3 linked regions of the Arabidopsis thaliana genome follow. The protein of the gene in region 2 purifies or fractionates together with the protein of the main gene of each other region. This does not show direct contact. Each region holds a gene or a part of one and is shown on either strand. Other genes may lie near its edges.

What was found.
Region 1: the proteins of PP2AA3 (region 2) and AT5G28850 fractionate together in Arabidopsis thaliana (co-fractionation; one large-scale study listed by BioGRID). This does not show direct contact.
Region 3: the proteins of PP2AA3 (region 2) and ECIP1 fractionate together in Arabidopsis thaliana (co-fractionation; one large-scale study listed by BioGRID). This does not show direct contact.

What each region holds. Positions count from the first base shown.
Region 1 is NC_003076.8:10,876,259-10,883,010, reverse strand, and holds AT5G28850 (Calcium-binding EF-hand family protein), read left to right. Parts: upstream 1-1,525; 5' UTR 1,526-1,732; coding exon 1,733-1,885; intron 1,886-2,735; coding exon 2,736-2,963; intron 2,964-3,053; coding exon 3,054-3,159; intron 3,160-3,241; coding exon 3,242-3,341; intron 3,342-3,454; coding exon 3,455-3,560; exon of another isoform or gene 3,561-3,594; coding exon of another isoform or gene 3,595-3,651; coding exon 3,652-3,742; intron 3,743-4,287; coding exon 4,288-4,429; intron 4,430-4,520; coding exon 4,521-4,668; intron 4,669-4,801; coding exon 4,802-4,911; intron 4,912-4,995; coding exon 4,996-5,152; intron 5,153-5,295; coding exon 5,296-5,421; intron 5,422-5,507; coding exon 5,508-5,651; 3' UTR 5,652-6,223; downstream 6,224-6,752. UniProt on the Arabidopsis thaliana protein: Regulatory subunit of type 2A protein phosphatase. Involved in post-transcriptional regulation of HMGR but not in root growth regulation in response to salt.
Region 2 is NC_003070.9:4,562,906-4,569,702, forward strand, and holds PP2AA3 (protein phosphatase 2A subunit A3), read right to left. Parts: upstream 4,945-6,797; 5' UTR 4,784-4,944; intron 4,472-4,783; 5' UTR 4,444-4,471; coding exon 4,051-4,443; intron 3,842-4,050; exon of another isoform or gene 3,679-3,841; coding exon 3,432-3,678; intron 3,200-3,431; coding exon 3,087-3,199; intron 2,975-3,086; coding exon 2,895-2,974; intron 2,707-2,894; coding exon 2,565-2,706; intron 2,471-2,564; coding exon 2,390-2,470; intron 2,063-2,389; coding exon 1,958-2,062; intron 1,785-1,957; coding exon 1,602-1,784; intron 1,511-1,601; coding exon 1,418-1,510; intron 1,328-1,417; coding exon 1,188-1,327; coding exon of another isoform or gene 1,184-1,187; intron 1,100-1,183; coding exon 1,033-1,099; intron 907-1,032; coding exon 787-906; 3' UTR 523-786; downstream 1-522. Other genes in the region: AT1G13310 (Endosomal targeting BRO1-like domain-containing protein), read right to left, coding at 1-24; AHP2 (Tat-binding protein 1(Tbp-1)-interacting protein (TBPIP)), read left to right, coding at 5,103-5,130, 5,238-5,263, 5,624-5,891, 5,978-6,048, 6,135-6,323, 6,407-6,505; AT1G13340 (Regulator of Vps4 activity in the MVB pathway protein), read right to left, coding at 6,717-6,797. UniProt on the Arabidopsis thaliana protein: The A subunit of protein phosphatase 2A serves as a scaffolding molecule to coordinate the assembly of the catalytic subunit and a variable regulatory B subunit. Involved during developmental process such as seedling and floral developments.
Region 3 is NC_003075.7:12,779,922-12,785,726, reverse strand, and holds ECIP1 (MA3 domain-containing protein), read right to left. Parts: upstream 3,966-5,805; 5' UTR 3,814-3,965; exon of another isoform or gene 3,730-3,813; 5' UTR 3,417-3,729; exon of another isoform or gene 3,279-3,416; 5' UTR 3,265-3,278; coding exon 3,060-3,264; intron 2,904-3,059; coding exon 2,809-2,903; intron 2,634-2,808; coding exon 825-2,633; 3' UTR 530-824; downstream 1-529. Other genes in the region: AT4G24805 (S-adenosyl-L-methionine-dependent methyltransferases superfamily protein), read right to left, coding at 1-412; AT4G24790 (AAA-type ATPase family protein), read right to left, coding at 4,382-4,459, 4,555-4,606, 4,700-5,126, 5,214-5,408, 5,508-5,684, 5,775-5,805. UniProt on the Arabidopsis thaliana protein: Involved in target of rapamycin (TOR)-regulated translation control, especially under energy-deficient conditions. Involved in the regulation of the ethylene-mediated signaling pathway. Involved in salt stress responses.

The DNA.
Region 1 (6,752 bases), on a different chromosome or scaffold from region 2:
TAGAGCATCTGTTCGGTAGATCGCGAAATACAGGGTTTGGCTTATAGTTGATAAAACATCCAAAACGACTTGTTTCCGAATAAAGAGTTGATAAAACATAATAAACCTAAAAAAAATGTTAAAAATATCACTTAACAATTTCTCTCATTAATATCATTACTAGATGCCTAAGATTAATTTCATCGTTGGTACATCGGGATAATGTGGTATTACAGTGTATGACTTGCAAGTTTGTATATGAACTTTCTAAAATAAGATTTTCTTGTTGTGTTAAACATCTTCTATTACCTTTCGATTCTCTAGGGCTGGCAAGCATGACATGGCAGTCTCCCATATAGAGAATGATCATTTTTGTTGTCTTCCATAGCTAAATGACTACTATAGTTTTTCTTTTCCCTAGTTAATGTTGTTAATAAGGGGATAATTTTGCTAAATTTGGTAAAAGTACATGAATTATATATGATATGTGATTTAGTCAAGAAAAATTATGTGAACCTGATTAGATTTTACCATGTCTCAGGTTTTCAAGAATGCAATTTTTATTTCCATGGGCTAGTTGAAATAGTTACCTATAAAATATCTTATGACATAAATCGATCTAGATATGATCTACATACAATTAGAAAGCTTAAACGTGGAAACTTAATTGATGATATGCTTTATGGTGATCAAGAAGAAGATATCAACAAAGTGTTGAGATACTAACAAAAATAGTTTTTTTTTCTTGTTGTTATAAATATTGAGTCAGACTTTAAGTTACACGTATTTGCAAACTATAGTTTTGTGTCAGTTTTTTTGATATCAACACATTTCTATTTATTTGGCAACAAAATACTTTTCATAAGAGCATTTCTATGTCATATATTATAATTTATGTGATAAAGATAAAGATCACGATTTCCCGATTGACAAAGAAAACCTTATGAAATATGGAAAACATGATATGAAACACATCATATGTTTCTCATTCGTCAAGTATTTTTTATATGATATATAAAACTTTTTTTCTTTCTAGAATTCATGGCTCTTGTATAAGGTAGATTGTCTAACTCGTTACTCTAGATAGTATATTATATGAAATTTGTTTCGTAAATATTTTTCCTTAAGATTGGACTACCAATTATGAAGTAATATTTTAACTAATGTGTGGTTGACAAAATATAGAAAAAATCAAGAATTCAACCACATGTTGAGAAAAAAAACTTCTACTTCAAATACACTTACTTATTTTTATTATTTAGTCAACGAAATATTAATTTATTTATGGACATATTTTTTAAAATACCATAAAATTAATTTTTATTATAAAACATTATTAGTAGTTTATATTTTTTTGAAAGTACCACTAAAATATATTATTTTCTGAAAATACCACAAAATTACTTTTAAAGTTTTCAAAACTAGATCCTAAACTCTAAAAAATAAACCCTAAACCCCAAAAAACTTAACTCAAACCCAAACATTTAATAAATTATAAACCCTTAAAATCAACTTTTTCTGTTTCAAGTATTTTTTGGGTATCTCTCTAATTTATTTATTTATTTCAGATTGCTCAAAAGAATAAATAAATAAAAGAATTTGGCTGTCTCATTTCCTTGTTCGGAATCGGAGAAGAAGGAAGACTAGATTCGATGTGTTGGTGAAGAAGATCTCGACTTTGTTCAAAATTCCAATTTCGTTCGCCTCAAAGATCATTCTCTCATCTTCTCGACTTTGATGCGATTGATTAAATATGGTGGATACGGTTATTCCCGGAGATATGGCTTGTTTGGATGCAGATTTGTTGCAGCTTCAGGAAATGTCTTCCTTTGTTCTCAATTCTAAACCTGGATTCACTCAGAAGCTCTTCGACCAGTGGCTTTCTCTTCCCGAAGCTCAGCGACAGGTTTCTGCCTTTTGAATTGCCTTCACAATTCTTACACTCATGCTTCTTAGCTTACTCTCTGTTACTTGTAGATTCCTGTAAAGTTCGAATCTTTCTCTGATAGTGTTACAATGATGCCTTAGGTTGCTTAATTACTCTGTTGTGTTGAGGATTGGTGTAAAGTTTGAATCTTTCTTTGATAGTGTTAGTGAGTATTACAATGATGCCTTAGGTTGTTACTGAGATTTGGTTGCTTAATTACTCTCTGGTGTAAAGTTTGAATCTTTTTTTTTGTTTCTTTGATAGTGTTAGTGAGTATTACAATGATGCCTTAGGTGGTTACTGAGAATGGTGTAAAGTTCGAATCTTTCTTTGATAGTGTTAGTTAGATTGGTGTAAAGTTCGTATCTTTCTTTGATACTGTTGGTGAGTGTTACATTGATGCTTACGTTACTGTGATGAAGTTTGAATCTTTTTTGGATAGTGTGAGTTAAGACGCTTAGGTTACTGAGATTTGTTTCTGTTGAGGATTGGTGTAAAGTTCAGATCTTTGATAGTGTTAGTTATTACAATGATGCTTAGCTTACTCTGTGTGAGTTGTAGATTCGTGTAAAGTTCGAATCTTTCTTTCATAATCTTAATTACTCTCTGGCTTCTGTTGAGCATTGGTGTAAAGTTTGAATCTTTCTTTGATAGTGTTAGTGGGTGTTACAATGATGCTTAGGTTACTGAGATTTACTCTGTGGTGTTGAATCTTTCTTGGGTTGTGTGAGTTATGACAATGATGCCTTAGGAGGTTACTGAGGTTAATTACTCTATTCACTGGAATCTCTAGTCTAATCTTTTTCTCGTTTCCTAATCGGTTTTCTAGGTTGGATCATTGCTTAAGGATGCTGTAGCTGGAGCTCCTATCAATGTTACTGGAAGTGCATCGGGTTCTAATTCTGCCACTATACCATCTATGTTTCCTGCGGGAAGCGCTCCTCCTCTTTCACCAAGAAGTTGTGGTTCACCCCGTACAACCAAACAGAGAGCCCCTTCTAACTTAGGTTCTACTCTCAAAGTAGTCAACGAGCCTGTTAAAGAGCCTATACCTCAGGTTTCTTTTCCTCTTTTACTTCCTTCTTTATATATATAGAGTAATGGAATGGAGTTAACTCACTGATTTCTTAACTTGAAATGATTCTAGTTTTATTTCCAAAATGGTCGCCCTCCACCAAGCGAGATTAAAGAGCAATGTATGTTTAGAATCAATCACTTCTTTTATGGTCACATGGATGGCTTGCAGATACAAGGTTAGAAGTCAGTCATTTGTTTTCTACTATTTATATTTTAACTGTTTATTAACTTTTTTCTCCATTTTCAATCAATACTCAGAATTCAAGTTAGTCACCAGAGAAATCTGCAAGCTCCCATCTTTCTTCTCCACTTCCCTTTTCCGGAAGATCGATCTCAACAATACAGGTTTTGTTACTAGGTGTGTGCTGCTGCTTCTATGCTTTTTTTTTTGTATGGTGCTTCCTCTTCATGTCTGCATAGTTTACTGAAACACCACCCAGTATAACAGTTTTGTCGTGTTTGTTTCTACAGAGATGCATTTATTGATTTTTGGGTAAACGGGAACATGTTGATAATGGATACAACGACCCAAATCTTCAAGATCCTAAAGCAGAAAGATCAGAGTTTCATTGTTAAGGTAATTTTCTTTTGATTTGCATATTCAGTCAGTCATGAAAGCGAGTTTATACTCCAGATTCTATTCTTTTCTTTTCTTTTTTTCATGGCAGGATGATTTCAAACCACTACTTAAAGAACTGTTGGCGACGCATCCTGGCCTAGAGTTCCTGCAATCCACACCTGAATTCCAAGAAAGATATGGTTAGGTCTCAACTTCATTTACATTTCCTAATTTATCTAATGTATTCTTTTTCTGCTTGGTATTGCTTGAGTAATGGTGTTTAGTAATTGAGTTTGGTTGTACATTTTATTCTTCGAAGTATATGGTTAGCTACAGCCCTAGTTGAGAAGAATGAGTGAATAAGTTTGCCATTTTCGGTATGATGTACTTATCTAAATCTGTCGAATGGTTACCACATCAATAGTATTTCTAGTGAAATAAGATAATTTTGATAATTGATGCATCAAGATACACTAATAAATGTGGTATTACTCTGTATGGATTTGAAACATTTTATAAGATACGGTTTCTTTGTTGTGTTGTGTTGTGTTAGACATCATCTTATAACTTGCAAATCCATAAAGCTTTCAAGCACGGCATGAATCATCTTCTGTCTATGAATCCTGCAGATGAATCAATATTAGAGAAAAAAAAAAAATCTGGAGCTTGTTTATGAATCATGTATTTTGATGAAACAGCTGATGCTATGCTACATGCTGATACAATTTGCATTTTGATGAAACAGCTGAAACTGTCACCTACAGAATATTTTACTACATAAATAGATCTGGCAATGGTCGAATTACATTTAGGGAGCTTAAACGGGGAAACTTAATTGATGCTATGCTACATGCTGATGAAGAAGAAGATATTAACAAAGTGTTGAGGTACTGACAAAAACAAATTTGTGCTATTGTTGTATATATGGTATTGTTTCTGCTCATTTAACATGACTTTTCTACTTACTTTGGCAAATAGATACTTCTCATATGAGCATTTCTATGTCATATACTGCAAGTTCTGGGAGCTGGATACGGATCACGATTTCCTGATTGACAAAGAAAATCTTATGAGATATGGAAACCATGCTCTTACCTACCGGATTGTCGACAGAATATTCTCCCAGGTTCTGTCTAAAAAATCTTTCTACTTGAGGATTTTGTTTATATTGCTTCCATTTAAGAGTTCTGTCCTCGTTCAAAGTTATTATTACTCTTAAGAGGACTGTCATCATGGATAATGCATTGGTTTCTACTTAGGTTGCTAGGAAGTTCACTAGCAAAGTTGAAGGGAAGATGGGGTATGAAGACTTTGTCTATTTCATTCTTGCGGAAGAAGATAAATCGTCAGTGCCTAGCCTAGAATATTGGTAAGTTGTGATATAAGGGTCCGAAAGTTGCAGACAGATACGATTTTAAGTCTTTTTATCTGACACAAGTATACGTTGGACTAGGTTTAAGTGCATAGACTTGGATGCAAATGGGATTATAACGCGAAATGAGATGCAATTCTTTTATGAAGAGCAGTTGCATAGAATGGAGTGCATGGCGCAAGAGGCTGTTCTTTTCGAGGATATCTTATGTCAGATGATTGATATGATCGGACCTGAGGTTCAACAATATGTCTCTTGTTTTTTTCTTTCTATATTAAGGAAGATATATGACAGTCACAGAAGTAGTTTGGGTTCCCAGTTTTTCTTTCTGACTCTTGCGATTTTGTCTTGTGTTTGATTGTTTTTTATTTCCTTCCACAGAACGAAAGCCATATAACGCTGCATGACCTGAAAGGCTCAAAGCTCTCTGGAAACGTCTTCAACATCCTTTTTAATCTAAACAAATTTATGGCATTTGAAACCCGGGATCCGTTCCTCATTCGTCAGGTACTACTCCACGTTTGATATTCAACCTTGCTGTTTTCTTGACACAATGGGCCTCTTATAACATTTCAAATGTCAAACGAAAACAGGAGCGCGAGAACCCGACATTGACAGACTGGGACCGTTTTGCACATAGAGAGTATATTCGGCTATCAATGGAAGAAGATGTTGAAGATGCATCCAATGGAAGTGCTGAGGTTTGGGATGACTCGTCACTGGAGGCTCCCTTCTGAGTTCAAAGAGGTAGCAAGTCAACAAAAGAAAATCATAATCTCTAGAATGGATTTTATTTTTTAAAAAAGGAAACAAAAAAACTTAGAAGTTGAAGGTTATGGATATGTTGTTATTTCATCATATTAGTTAATCATGCAAAAGAGAAACAGAAAGTCCCTGAGAAGAATCTTTGGAGCTTTGTTGAGAAGGCAAGTGAAAAAACAAGGGAGAAGCCAGTAGTATCATACTTAGCTTGGAGTTGTTTTCTAACTTCTCTTCATTTTTAGCTGATTTTACAACTATATTGATTAATAATCGTCGTCGTTTAGCTCATCGCTTTACGGCTTCTTCATCTGTATTGCATTCACTTTGCTCCATCTCTGGGTTTTTTGTTTGTACTTTAGAGCTTTGTTACTCTCATGATCTTCAGTTGTTCAAAAATTGTGAAAATCAATGCCATAGTTACTTTATATGTTGGTTAGTTCTTGTTTTATAGGAATCCTAGGACATGAATCTTTTAGAGGTATTGTTTTTATGGATAAGAGAAAGCGCTAAGGATTTGTACTGCTTTAGCTTAATGTTTTATCAAATCGGCACAAAAAAAAACTGGTAACAATGGTAAGCACTAAGCAGTTACTAATCCGACCAATTCAAGTTTACTATTCTGATCACTAACCATGTATCGCAACAGTACAGGATGTACTAAAACCGGTATAATAAAATGAGCGTTTAATACCTAATACTTTTTGTTGAAATAAAAATATCTCATCTAATTATTTGTAGCTTCAAAATACTTCGTATATAAACTATTGGTGATATCAAATCCGGAAGCTAACAGCCGTTAACAAGGGATGAAGAAGAAAGAAGAAAAAAATCAAAAGAATTGCTAAGAGGAGTACTCGAACTCACGTCCTTTACCCCTATAAATTTAAGCAAACTTTAAAGGGGGTGTATTGAAAGTAAAATTTTAAGAAATTTGTGTATAATTTATAAATCATATGTTATTCAAACATGGATTTTAACAACTTTCGTGGCTAAGGAAGTAATGCCCAATTAAAATAGGTCCATCGATTCAACAACATTTTTTGTGCCACGAGAAATCGATTGGGGTTGTGATCCAA
Region 2 (6,797 bases):
AATTAGGTACTGCATCATCGTCATCGTTCTTCTTCCAAACTCTTGGTTACGTAACTATTAAGCCAGAATCATAAACAACATAAATAAACTGAAGCCGAGAAACAAGAGAAGACTCTATAATATTTGTGTTGTCGTTTAAATAATTCAGATATTATTTGTAATTTCCTAATCCTATTGCGAGTCGAAAACTGTTGGAAGATCAAATAGAAATATTAAGGAAATTTCGTAGAGTTTTGAAATAGCGAGAGAGGTGTGTGCAAGAGTGGTGAAAAATAATCAACAAAATTTGTAAATAATCAAACAGAAAACGTCAATAACACATATATATTGAACTTTTCGAGGGAAGTTCCTAGGTCAATAATTCTCCGTAAGTGCCTTCTACGACAAGGTTTTGACTTTTGATAAAATAGTCTTCTAGTTAAAAAGACAACAACGACCTGAATCTGATATGTGGAGTATAAAAGCCCATGGGCTTGAAAACGACTCAATAAGTTGGTTGACCAATTAAAATATTCCAGTGGTGACCAATTGTACACTCATGCTTCGAGCAAAAACGTTGCCGAATCACTTGATAAGTAAATTATTTGGACTAAACAAAATTAAGCACCAAAAAGCAAATACGCCCAACGAACAAATCACAGAAAACATGAAGCCAACATTAACATTAGTAGCAGAGAGAAACAATGGTCACGTACGTGTAAAGTAAAAGACAACACACGACAAAGTATCGTTTACAAAATCTCATGAGAACCAAACACAATTCGTTGCTGTCTTCTTTACCTTTTTTTAGCTAGACATCATCACATTGTCAATAGATTGGAGAGCTTGATTTGCGAAATACCGAACATCAACATCTGGGTCTTCACTTAGCTCCACCAAGCATGGCCGTATCATGTTCTCCACAACCTTTCACAACCAACAAAAATGAAAACATTTGAATATATGGACGTTTAGATTCCCTGATGAGGAGGATAATGTGGAATCATAAGCTGTTTCTTTACTTGTGAGAGCCAACAAAGAATGTATACTAACCGCTTGGTCGACTATCGGAATGAGAGATTGCATCATTTTGGCCACGTTAAATTTGATGTTTGGAACTCTGAAAGAGGAGGAGAGAGTGGTTCTTTTAGTTAGCTATTGGGAAAAAAATTGAGTCAATGAGATTTCATGTTAAGAGAGAGACTTGCCTGTCTTTAGATGCAGTTATTACCGCAGGTAAGAGTTTGGAACATGTGATCTCGGATCCCATTACTGGAGCGAGAAGCGATACTGCACGAAGAATCGTCATCCGATATAGATAGTGTGGGTTGTTAATCATCTCTAGAACCTGAACAAGTAAATATACTCCAATAACCAATAGCTAAAATGCTCGATTTGAATTGAAAACATACTATATGCTTAAGATTTCTACACAAACCTGAGGAACTATATGCTGCATTGCCCATTCAGGACCAAACTCTTCAGCAAGACGCTTCAGATTGTTTGCAGCAGCTTCACGGATTGAGTGAACCTGACAATTTATAATTATTTCAAAATTTCAAGCAGTAGAGACGACAAATTTATTTATCTGGATGATTCAATGAAGGTAGAGAATGAGGGACCTTGTCTTGTAACCATTGCATGCAAAGAGCACCAAGCTTCTCATCAAAGAAGCCTACACCTAATTGACTGGCCAACAAGGGAATATACTCGATTATAGCCAGACGTACTCTCCAGTGCCTGTCTTCAGCAAGTTCTACAATGGCTGGCAGTAACGATTGTGATAGTAGATCAATCCCAATAACCTGGCAATTTTAAGGAAAAAAAATCGAATCATTATGAAAAATGGATGGACAAAGAATTTGCTGTCAAGTAGTCATTGACTTGACCAAAACATGATACAGCTCCTTTGAACATGTGGGAAAAAATAGAAACCCAATGTCGTACAAAGAGATGAGTAACTTGGTCAATAGCAAACCTGGTTCACTTGGTCAAGTTTGCTGATAATGTTTAAGCGTACATCAGGAAATTCGTCTTTCAATAGAGAAAGAAAGATTGGAAGAAGATGCTCAATTGTTGCATCCTGAAATGAATATCAATGCCAAGTTAAAAGCTGCAAAATCCAACTAAATATCTTGTGTAGAAAAACATAGTGAGGTTTTCTTATATAGATTATTGTTGCGAGAACCTTCCAGGCACAGTTAAAAAAATTCCTAAAGATGACAGTGACTAGGACGAAGAAGATATATAGATGGTTTCAAATAAAAGAAAAAATCTTTATCTCTAAGATGCTAAATACATAGAATATTATGAGCTTACACTCCAAACTATAGAGCCAAATGAATTTTTGTATAGATGACAGTATTCATGATATGAGAGGCAAATTGTATCGGTTTTTAATTCTGCTTACCTTACCCAAGACTGGAGCCATTCCCATTATAACTGATGCCAATGCAGATCTGACGTGCTGAGAAGAGTCTGATGATAATTCCTACGTGTAGATTTATAGGTAAGCTTAGCAAACACCGACAGTATTTTGGTCCTTTGCATAATATGAAATCAACACACTCTTCTTAAGTGTGTACCTTTACACAGGGAAGAATGTGCTGGATAGCGAGTTCAGGGTTTAAAATGCGACAAAACTTGGTAACTTTTCCAGCAGCTGCTATCCGAACTTCTGCCTCATTATCACAAAGTAGACGAGCATATGCAGGCACCAGATCCGTCCTTAATACATAAGGCACATGAGAAAGTATAAAAAACGACTCAAAGAAATTTATTAAGATGACTCAACAAACATGGACTTCCAAGTACCAAATACCTCTGAAGTCAGTAATCTATTGTTTGATATAGAATTGCATACTAAAGGTCAATACTACATTAAACCATAACTAACTTCAACCATCACTGCTTACCTAGTTGGCTCCGGTCCTACAGCTTCACAAAGTTCATAGAGCTGATTTGCAACCATATAACGCACACGCCAGGACTTATCCTGCTCAAAGACGAAAAAAATCAAGATAAAGCAGCTCATACATATCTGCCTTACAGCTTTCCCATAAAGCTCATCAATAGAATTTTTTTATCATATTCACACATTTATTTACCTGCGAGAAATTGACAATCACAGGAAGAATGTGTGCAACACAGTCCTGGGGCTCCAACAATTTCCCAAGAGCAGCACAACCCTCAACAGCCAATAATCTAACCGAATCTTGATCTGATATCAATGTCAATAAGATACTTAAAATCTGTAATATTATAATATAAAAAGACACTGAAGCTGAGATGTAGACAACCGTAATTCTGCTTAACTTCAGCTAATGGTCAGTGTTCAATGCAGTAACCCTAATACTTGCCTATTACACATCAGCCACCCCCATAACTAGGCTTGATGAAAATTGTAAGAGTATATGCTGGAAAAACGAAACATATAATAAGGGAGAGCATACCATCTTGCGTAAGATCCTCAAACATGGACATAATGTCTGTCTTCAAATGAGCTGATTCAATTGTAGCAGCAAACTTCCCCAAATTAGTTGCTGCAGCTCTGCGCACCATTGGCATGTCATCTTGACAAAGCTGACCATATATTGATCTTAGCTCCGTCTTTAGCACATCTGGGGCACTTGGGTATGCAATATGGAAAATCCCACATGCTGATACTCTGGCTGTGAACCATTCACCAGCTGAAAGTCGCTGTTACACAATGACAGTGTTCAGTAATGCTTAAGTCGGTTTCACATTACGAGCACCTATACCGAGGTATGTATGGTCACATACACAACCACAACCCAAAAGAGCGCTAAAGCCAGAGCGATGTTCTCTTAGATCAACCAAAATGGATGTAAACAACTTCAACCTACCAATTTCCCAAAACACCTATAAGGGGAACACTGAACAAGAAAAGCATATTTCCAAACTTTGGGGGACAATTGACAAAGGACCCCAAAAAATCTATGTTCTTCTGTTTTAGTGGCTTAATAATATTAAGTTTGACAGAGCATGGAAAGGAATCAATAAAATCGACCAAAGAGATTTGATAAAATAAGTAAACCAGCCTTATCTAACCTTAGCCAGAGGAGTGAAATGCTCAACCAAGTCACTCTCCCTCATCTGAGCACCAATTCTACAAAGTGAATCCACAGCTTTCTCCCTCACGCAAGTTTCCTCAACAGTGGATAGAGTCTCCAAAGGTGGAAGCAGAACATATGCATACTCAACCCCTCCTACATACAGAATAAAACCCCCCAACTCTTCCGCCATAGCCAAAAGCACCTCATCGTCATCGTCATTGTTCTCACTAAGAAATGGAATCAACTCTTTTCTTGTCCTCTCCTCTCCAAGAGCACGAGCAATGATAGAAAGCCGTTTAATAGAGTTCAATCTACGCTGAATATCATCGTTTTTTAGCTCGTCGATAAGCACAGCAATCGGGTATAAAGGCTCATCAACCATAGACATCCTCACCAAAACTCAAATCACTCCCTACCTTCAATCAAACACAAATGTACACAAAGTCAGAATAAAACACAATGCATACATAGACACCATCAATACAAAAGACGATAAAGTTACAAACTTTAAACTCAATTCCGCCTCTGAGATAATTCAAAGGTGACCCATTAGCCTCTAAAAAATGATTAGAATGGAGAACTGAAACTTTGTGCCGTCCCAATCTAGAGAGAAACTATTACCATTCTTAGACTAATAAAGAGAGAAGATCTAAACAATAATTCGATTTGAGATTCTCAATATACAATTGGAAAATGTTTCGAAATTGAAGAAATGATCGAGAATTTACCGATTACGCTGCTTTCCAAGTTCCGAGCGATCTATCAATCAGAAGAACGAGAAATGAGACCGGAGCTCGTCTTTCGCAGCAGCTAAACCATCTTCAAGCTGTGTCCATATAATTGGGCCTGTCAAAGATAAGAACTAAATGGGCTTATGTATAATACATAAAGGCCCATATATCCAACAAATACGACTTCGTTTAATATCTCTCTCGTATAAAGGAAGCTTCTCAGTAACTCTCTTCTTCTTCCTCAGAAAATATCGGAAAAGGAAAAAAGTTGCTCTCGCTTCAGGTTTTTTATTTCCCGCCAATTATTTCGACAAAAATGGCTCCTAAATCGGATAACACCGAAGGTATAATGATATAATCTCTGAAAAAAATCTGCTAGTTCTCTTTGATCTTATTCCTCATTTTGATTTCTCTCTTATTTACTTGTTTCCTGAATTTTTTATTTCTGCAGCTATCGTACTCAACTTTGTCAATGAGGTAAGCACTTCTCTGCGATTCTACATTTTTGCTTTAATTCTAAACGGAGATCACAAACAGATACGACCATAAAAATTAGAATTCGAATTTGAAATTGAGTCTAGGTTAAGGTACGCAGTGATGTTCACATGATTCTGAATCTGGGAATTTAATCACTTGGGTTTCAATTTGTGCTATAAGTTTACACATGAATTTTTCGTTTGAAGCTATTGATATTGACTAGGTTTTAAAAATTGATTGATACAGGTTATATATATATATATATATATATATATATATATATTGCAAGTTTTGTTTCAATCTGTTGTATTATTGTTGTTAGATTTTGATGAATGTGTTGTTGGTACTTTTTTGATGCAGCAAAACAAACCTCTAAACACTCAAAATGCAGCTGATGCTCTACAAAAGTTTAACCTTAAGAAGACTGCGGTGCAAAAGGCACTTGATAGTCTTGCTGATGCTGGAAAAATCACGTTTAAAGAGTATGGTAAGCAGAAGATATACATTGCTAGACAAGACCAGTTTGAGATTCCAAACTCTGAAGAACTTGCTCAAATGAAAGAAGACAATGCCAAACTTCAAGAACAGCTTCAAGAGAAGAAGAAAACTATCAGTGATGTGGAATCAGGTGTGAAAAAACTACTTTTTCTCAGTGGTTTTGAGGATGTGATATAGCTGCTTGGATAATGTTATGTTCTGTGATGTTATTTGCAGAAATCAAGAGTTTGCAGTCAAACTTGACACTAGAAGAGATACAAGAGAAAGATGCCAAACTAAGGAAAGAGGTATATGTTTTTCTTACCTTTTGGTTTTTGTCTTTCTTTGAGTAAGGTTGTTGATAGCTTATAAAGTGATTTCAACTGTGTACCAGGTTAAGGAAATGGAAGAGAAACTGGTCAAACTACGTGAAGGGATTACATTGGTGAGGCCAGAAGACAAAAAGGCTGTTGAAGATATGTATGCGGATAAGATTAATCAGTGGCGCAAGCGTAAGAGGATGTTCAGAGACATTTGGGATACTGTAACAGAGAATTCTCCCAAAGATGTGAAGGAACTAAAGGTGCAAACTCATATTTCTTCAGGAGTTTTTTCTTACAGACTACATCAGCTTCGCCATAATTTTTGACTACTGTTACTTTGCAGGAGGAGCTTGGAATTGAATACGATGAAGATGTCGGTCTAAGTTTCCAGGCATATGCTGACCTAATTCAACATGGTAAAAAGAGGCCTCGAGGACAGTAATTTTCAGGTAAGTTCTTCGAATTTGATTCAAAGTTTTCTAGAAACGTTTCTTGTATAAACACACACATATGCAACTGTACAACATCATTGAAAGCTTATATCCATAAAGAACACAATAATCTTACATCTTTGACCACAAAAAGAACATAGAAAAGTACAAAACTGAGTGATTACACCGTAGATGCACCTGAAAAACTTATAACATTTGTACTTAGTATCCACGAACCTGTCTTGTCCTGACTGAAACTGGACCCTTCAAACCTGCTTTACGCATAATAGGATCTTCAATTGA
Region 3 (5,805 bases), on a different chromosome or scaffold from region 2:
CTATTCCGACGGAGTCTTCCACGCCGATCAATCTCAACGCCGCAACCTCTTGTCCAACCCGAGCACCGATCGAGAGAGCTTTTGATTGATTTGAGAGAAGACCGCGATCGCTGAGACGTCGGAAGAAAGTGGAGAACACACGAACTTTCCTGTCCCAGTCGCGCGTTGTCCATACCTTACGTAGCTTCGGGTTCTGAGTTTTGTTGAGCTGGTGTTTGATGTATGCTTCGTAGGAGGAGTATCCATGGTGACGGATCCGTATTCCTTCGTCGGCAACGGAGGTGACGGAGGAAGAGGAGGAGAGAGGACGGCGGAGGAATGTGGTGGGGAAGGCGAAGAGGAAGATGATGAGAAAAGAGAGGGAGAGGAAGAGAGAGAGTGTGAAGGGTAGTTTTGGTATTACGAATTTCATGTTAGCTTCGAGACTTCCCTTCCTTGTTGTCTCTGTGTGTACATCGAAGCATATATGGGAATTTATTTAATTAAAGAAATGATTAAAGTTTGGATCATAATTAGAAAAACACCAAATGCAAATAATATAGTTTGTTTTGTCTAATTGTCATCAAGGCATTATTATTGACTCTGAATTGAAACTTGATCCAATATAGCCCCAAAGTTCCGTTGGACTAAATTCAGAGCAATAAAAAGGTCCTCTGAAGAAAAAAGTTAAACATTCGTGAAAAGATAAGCTCCCTGGGCAGAATTCTCAAAGCCTAAAAGTGCAAAACAAAACAACCACAGGGATGCTCAAGAGAGAAAGAGACTTGTACATTCTATCAGTTTTTTTTAGTTCACACACCATTTGGGATATCTCCTCTTGATCTCTAGCCTACATTAGCATCTTCAGTTAGGGAAGTTAAAAACGACGACGAAACCCAACCATTCTTCTTCCCATACTCCACGTAGTCGTTGAATTTCTCCTTTGCGTTTGGGATGTCTAAAGCAAGATCTTCAAGTCCGTCTTTGACTCTTGTGAACCCTTTGGTCATCTGGTTTGTGGTTATGAGTCCTTCACTGAAACTCTCCTGCAGAAGATCCAGCATCATCTTGTCCTTCTTCTTCTCCATACCCATCACCAGTGCTTTCTTCACCACCTCATGGTTGAAGAAAGGCATGCCTAGCTCATGGATGCATTTGCATGCTTCTGATACCAGCCCTGAGCTTTCGTATTCCTCCAGGAGATTTGATATCTTGTCCTTTGCATCTTCCACTGCCCAACCGCTCCCACCTCCCCAGCATCTTAGAAGCCTCTCTCCTGCATGTCGAGCAAAGATGAGTGACCTAGCCATCTTCACGGTTTCAGTTCCGCTTGAGTTAGGGCGTAGTTTGCTACTGATCTCTTCCAGGTTAAAAGGTGCTAAAACATCATCGATCACAGCTCTAGCTAAGAACAGAGCAAGTTCGTTGGACGCATCCAGAATGTCAAGAGCTGTATCTTCTGCAGACTCCAGGAGCATGACGAAACCATCTGCAACATCTTCTGTGGTGAACATCTCGATGTGAAGAGATGAGAGAAGAACAGATGCCATTTCTTTCTCGTGATTCTTCCTGTCCAAAGCAAGTGTTATCAGCTTCTTTAGAAAAATTGGGTTGTACTCGGGTGCTCCTAAATCCTCAAGACTGCGTATGAGTTCTGGTATGTCATCAGAGTTGAAATACTCATGAATGATGGTCACAATGTCTTCCTTGAACCGCTTTAGTTTCTCATCCTCGTTCTGTTGTCGTCCACATTCACCAGAGGGATAACCAAACGAAGCATCAAGCCAACCACCTGAGACAGCTTTTGGCACAATCAAACCAAATTTGGTTCTAGCTGAAGGAATGTCAAGAGCAAGATCATCAAGGCTTTCTCTTAATCTTGAAAATCCCTTCACCATTTGACTAGAGCTTATCAGGTTTTCTGAAGCTGCTTCATTTAGCAGTTTCAATACAGGTGCTTCTGCTGCGTGGTTTTCCAAGGCAGTAACTAAGGCCCTCTTCACAACCTCATGGTGAAAGAAAGAAACACCCAACTCTCTTACGCAACGACATGCCTCATAAGTCTCTCCAGTCTCCACATATTCATTCAAAATGTCAGCAATCTTCTTCTTGACTTCCTCAACAGTGGTTCGAGTCTGTCCACCCCACCTTCTTTCTACTAGCTCAGCATGGTGTGCAGCTGATAGATAGCTTTTCTCTGCAGTTTGGACAACCTGGTAACCTTTAGAAGTTATTGGAAGTGCCTTGGCAGCCCTAGGAAGAAAAGCTGGAGGAAGTATGTCATCCACGACAGCACGTGCAAGGAACAAAGCAAGAACATTGACAGCATCAGGTATATCCACCACAAAGTCATCGGCTGACTCGAGCAGCAGGACAAATCCATCTCTTATCTGGTTCGGGTTAATGACATCAGCATACAATGCGGAAAGCAAAACCGAGGCCATTTCCTTCTCTTTGTCATGCCTGTCCATCGCTACCGAGACAAGCCGCTTGATGAAGTAGGGATGATATTCACTTGAACCAAGTTCAATGAGGTCAGCTGCTGCCACATCAACATCACCGGTGCTGAAGTATTCGTTAATGATGGAAGCTGCAGCTTTCTTGTAATCATCTAATGGGTCTGACAGAGTTGCACCAACAAGCTCGAATGGTTCCTATAAAACAAAAAAAAACACAAAGAGAGCTGAGACTGATGATCTCTAAAAAGTAACACACAATGGATAAATTTTCTACATCATCTGAACAGCAGATGGACAACAGAAACAGTTTTGTGCAAGTACTTTGGCAAGAAAATAATCAACCATCTAGTACGAAAGGTGCAGAAACTACCTCTCCACTGTCATAATTAGGATCATTCGGGTCAATGTGATAGTCTCCATCAGTGTCAATAAGTTTTCCCCAATTTCCTTTCCCACCACCTCCATCTGAAACAAAATTTATCAATCACCGCTACCCGAAGAACAAAGGAAGTATAAATATGCAATCTACACAATTTTCAGCTCCAAATTTGACTAAGAGCCATCCCTTGACACTTGATGGTTTAGAAACCCAAATCTAAACTGATAAAGGTAGTAACTGACCCTTCTTAGAGCGAATAGACCTTCCCGCATGAGACCTTCTGTGCTTCACAGCATTTGACGCACCAGAAGCTTTCCCACCACCAGATGGTTTAGGCAGATGCTCAAGTAAAACCGAGTGAGGTTTTTGTGAGGGTGGAAGATCATCTGCAGTCTGAGTTGCAACTTTCATCATCTCTCTCTGCTGATCCGTTAGGAAACCCTCCATCCTTGGCAATTACCCTAACAGTGAAACATCATCAAATCATTCCTTTAACAAACACATACCATACAATAAATATCAACCTAAAACCAAAACAGCATATAGCTAAAACCACAAGACACTGATGTGAAACGACATAAATGGAGATCTAAAATCACCAATCCATAATACAGAAGCCTATGCATCCCAAGGTTTCATCAAATTCTTCTACGTGTCATTCTTCACATATTTCTACAGCAATCAATCAATTAATCATTCCCGTGACTAAATGCCAAAACCAAAACATCGGAGAAATGTTTGAAACTCCAAGTACCAGTAACTGTTAATGTTCAAATCGCCTCGTCGTCAGCCAAACTATCCACAAAGCAGACCGTCGTACGGAAAAAGAGCAGGCGAGATCCGTGGTAAGAAGAAAGAGGACGGAGGCTAGATCGAAAAGAAGAACCCGAGTCTGAAGCTGCGTAAGCTATCCTGGAAAATAGTAGTAATGTTTGAGAGAAGATTGTTTGGAGAAGAAGATGGATTTGGGAATTTTGGGAGGAACAAAAAGCTTACAGAAATGGAGGCTGCTGATTCTCATCAAAGGTCTCATCATAAGGACTGTTGCCACGTGTTACTGTCTCAACGGTCACGATTGCTCGTTACATGTGCTGGCCTGTCCAAGAGAGATATCGATTAGGGTTATGGATTTAATTTTGGAGTTTTCCTACCAAAATAGTGAAACCAGATAATTTATAAATATCTCTCTGTCAATATCTTATCCCAAATTACTAAAACCTTATCCAAATTATGTTTCTAATTTCAAATCAGTTTATTGAAAAAATTAAACATTATCCACTTTTTGTAACAAAAAAGTTGAAGACTAATGTATTCACTTTATTCTGATTCGTTTTAATGAATGAGATAATTTGTGAAAACATAATGAGCTCAGTCAATAAAAGGGTCCAAAGACAGTAAAATTCAGGTCTGTTAAAGGAGTGATTAGTATATGCTAATCTAAAATATGGTCTTGAAACACATTTTGCAACTATACATTTTTGTGTCACATTGTCCTAAACAATGGGTTTGCTAAAACCTATTGGTTCCACTTCCACAAAATGGGTATTACCCTCATCGAGCTCCCTTAATTAGCTGCAGTGCTGCAGGGAAGGACTCGGCCGATAAGCCGTGAGCTCTTGCTGTTCTGTGTCTCGCTCTGACCCTATAAGACATGTATCATCATCACAAATTAGAAACACCAAAAAGGTACAGACAGAGATCTGAAACCGAATTCTTAGGCATAGTCGAGATGTTTACCTTGCCTAGGGGAGTCTTCTTCCAACACAACACATCAGTGTCATCTTCTGGCCTGCACAAAGTCAGAGGCAGAGTATACTTGAGTAGCTAGCCAAATCACAAAACAACTTACTTTTGAAATGAATAAATATGAACCATGTTTTACCTTTTTTCACCCGGAGGAATGTGTGGAGTACACATAGCAGAAGTTGCATCGCCTTGATCACTGGAACAGCTCATACGCGATGATGCATTGGCTGAAGAACGAACACTTCGAGCCCTCAAGACATTTCCTTGGCAACTTCTCAGAGAATTTGTAACTGCAGGCTTTTCAGATGCGCAGTCAGAGTCGGTTCTTGTAGTCAAATACGACTTGTGAAGCATTCTACGAGAACAACTGAAAAGTCCAAAGAAAAGACTTGCTGCTGCTTTAGCACTCTTTGGTGGAGAACACGCAGAGATAACAAGATTCATTTGGATCTCAACGTTGCATCCTAACACAGATTGGAACGAGTCTGCAATCAATTTCCATGATTTCTCGGCTCTTGCTACATGTTGAGGTGTGTAGAATTCTAACTCAGCTATTGCCACACCTGAAAAGAAAAAAGAATATGCATTTACTTATCTGAGACACAAGCCAAAGTAAAACTTTCAGACCATCTTTGGGAAATATAAGTTACCTTTGTCAACAGTAAGTGAAGTCAACCTTCCTCGTTTCCACAGAAATCTCTTTAGTGAATCAGAACAACACAAATCTGTAACCGTTTTCCACACAGATTCAACTGTTTCATTACAGTTTCTCTCTTGACCCTTCTCGGCATCTGATTTAATAACATCACCAGGACAACCTGATGATGTGCTGGAGAGCTCAACGTCTAGATACATGACCAAGGGTAAGTTATATATAGTTAGTAACCAAGACAACACGAAAAAGAAGCATGAAATAAAGGAAACGAGAATTTATGAATTAGGACCTTTGTTTATTTGGTTTCTTCCATTTTCATCTGTTGCAAAAGATGATGAGTCGGTGTTACTAAGTTGCAAAAGTGCCACAGTGAGCCAAGTTGTCTGGTTTTTCGATGCTCTCAAGTGTTTCTCAGCATCAGATAGTATCTTCAATGCATTTCTCAATTTCTGCATTTCTTCTTCAGCTATATATAGTAGAACAGTATATGATAAAGAGTGAGATCAGGTTTTAATTTGAAGCTGATATTCAAAGTAATCATCACTGGGGTGCTTACATGTATGCCTTGTAAGAAACCGAAGTCTGGT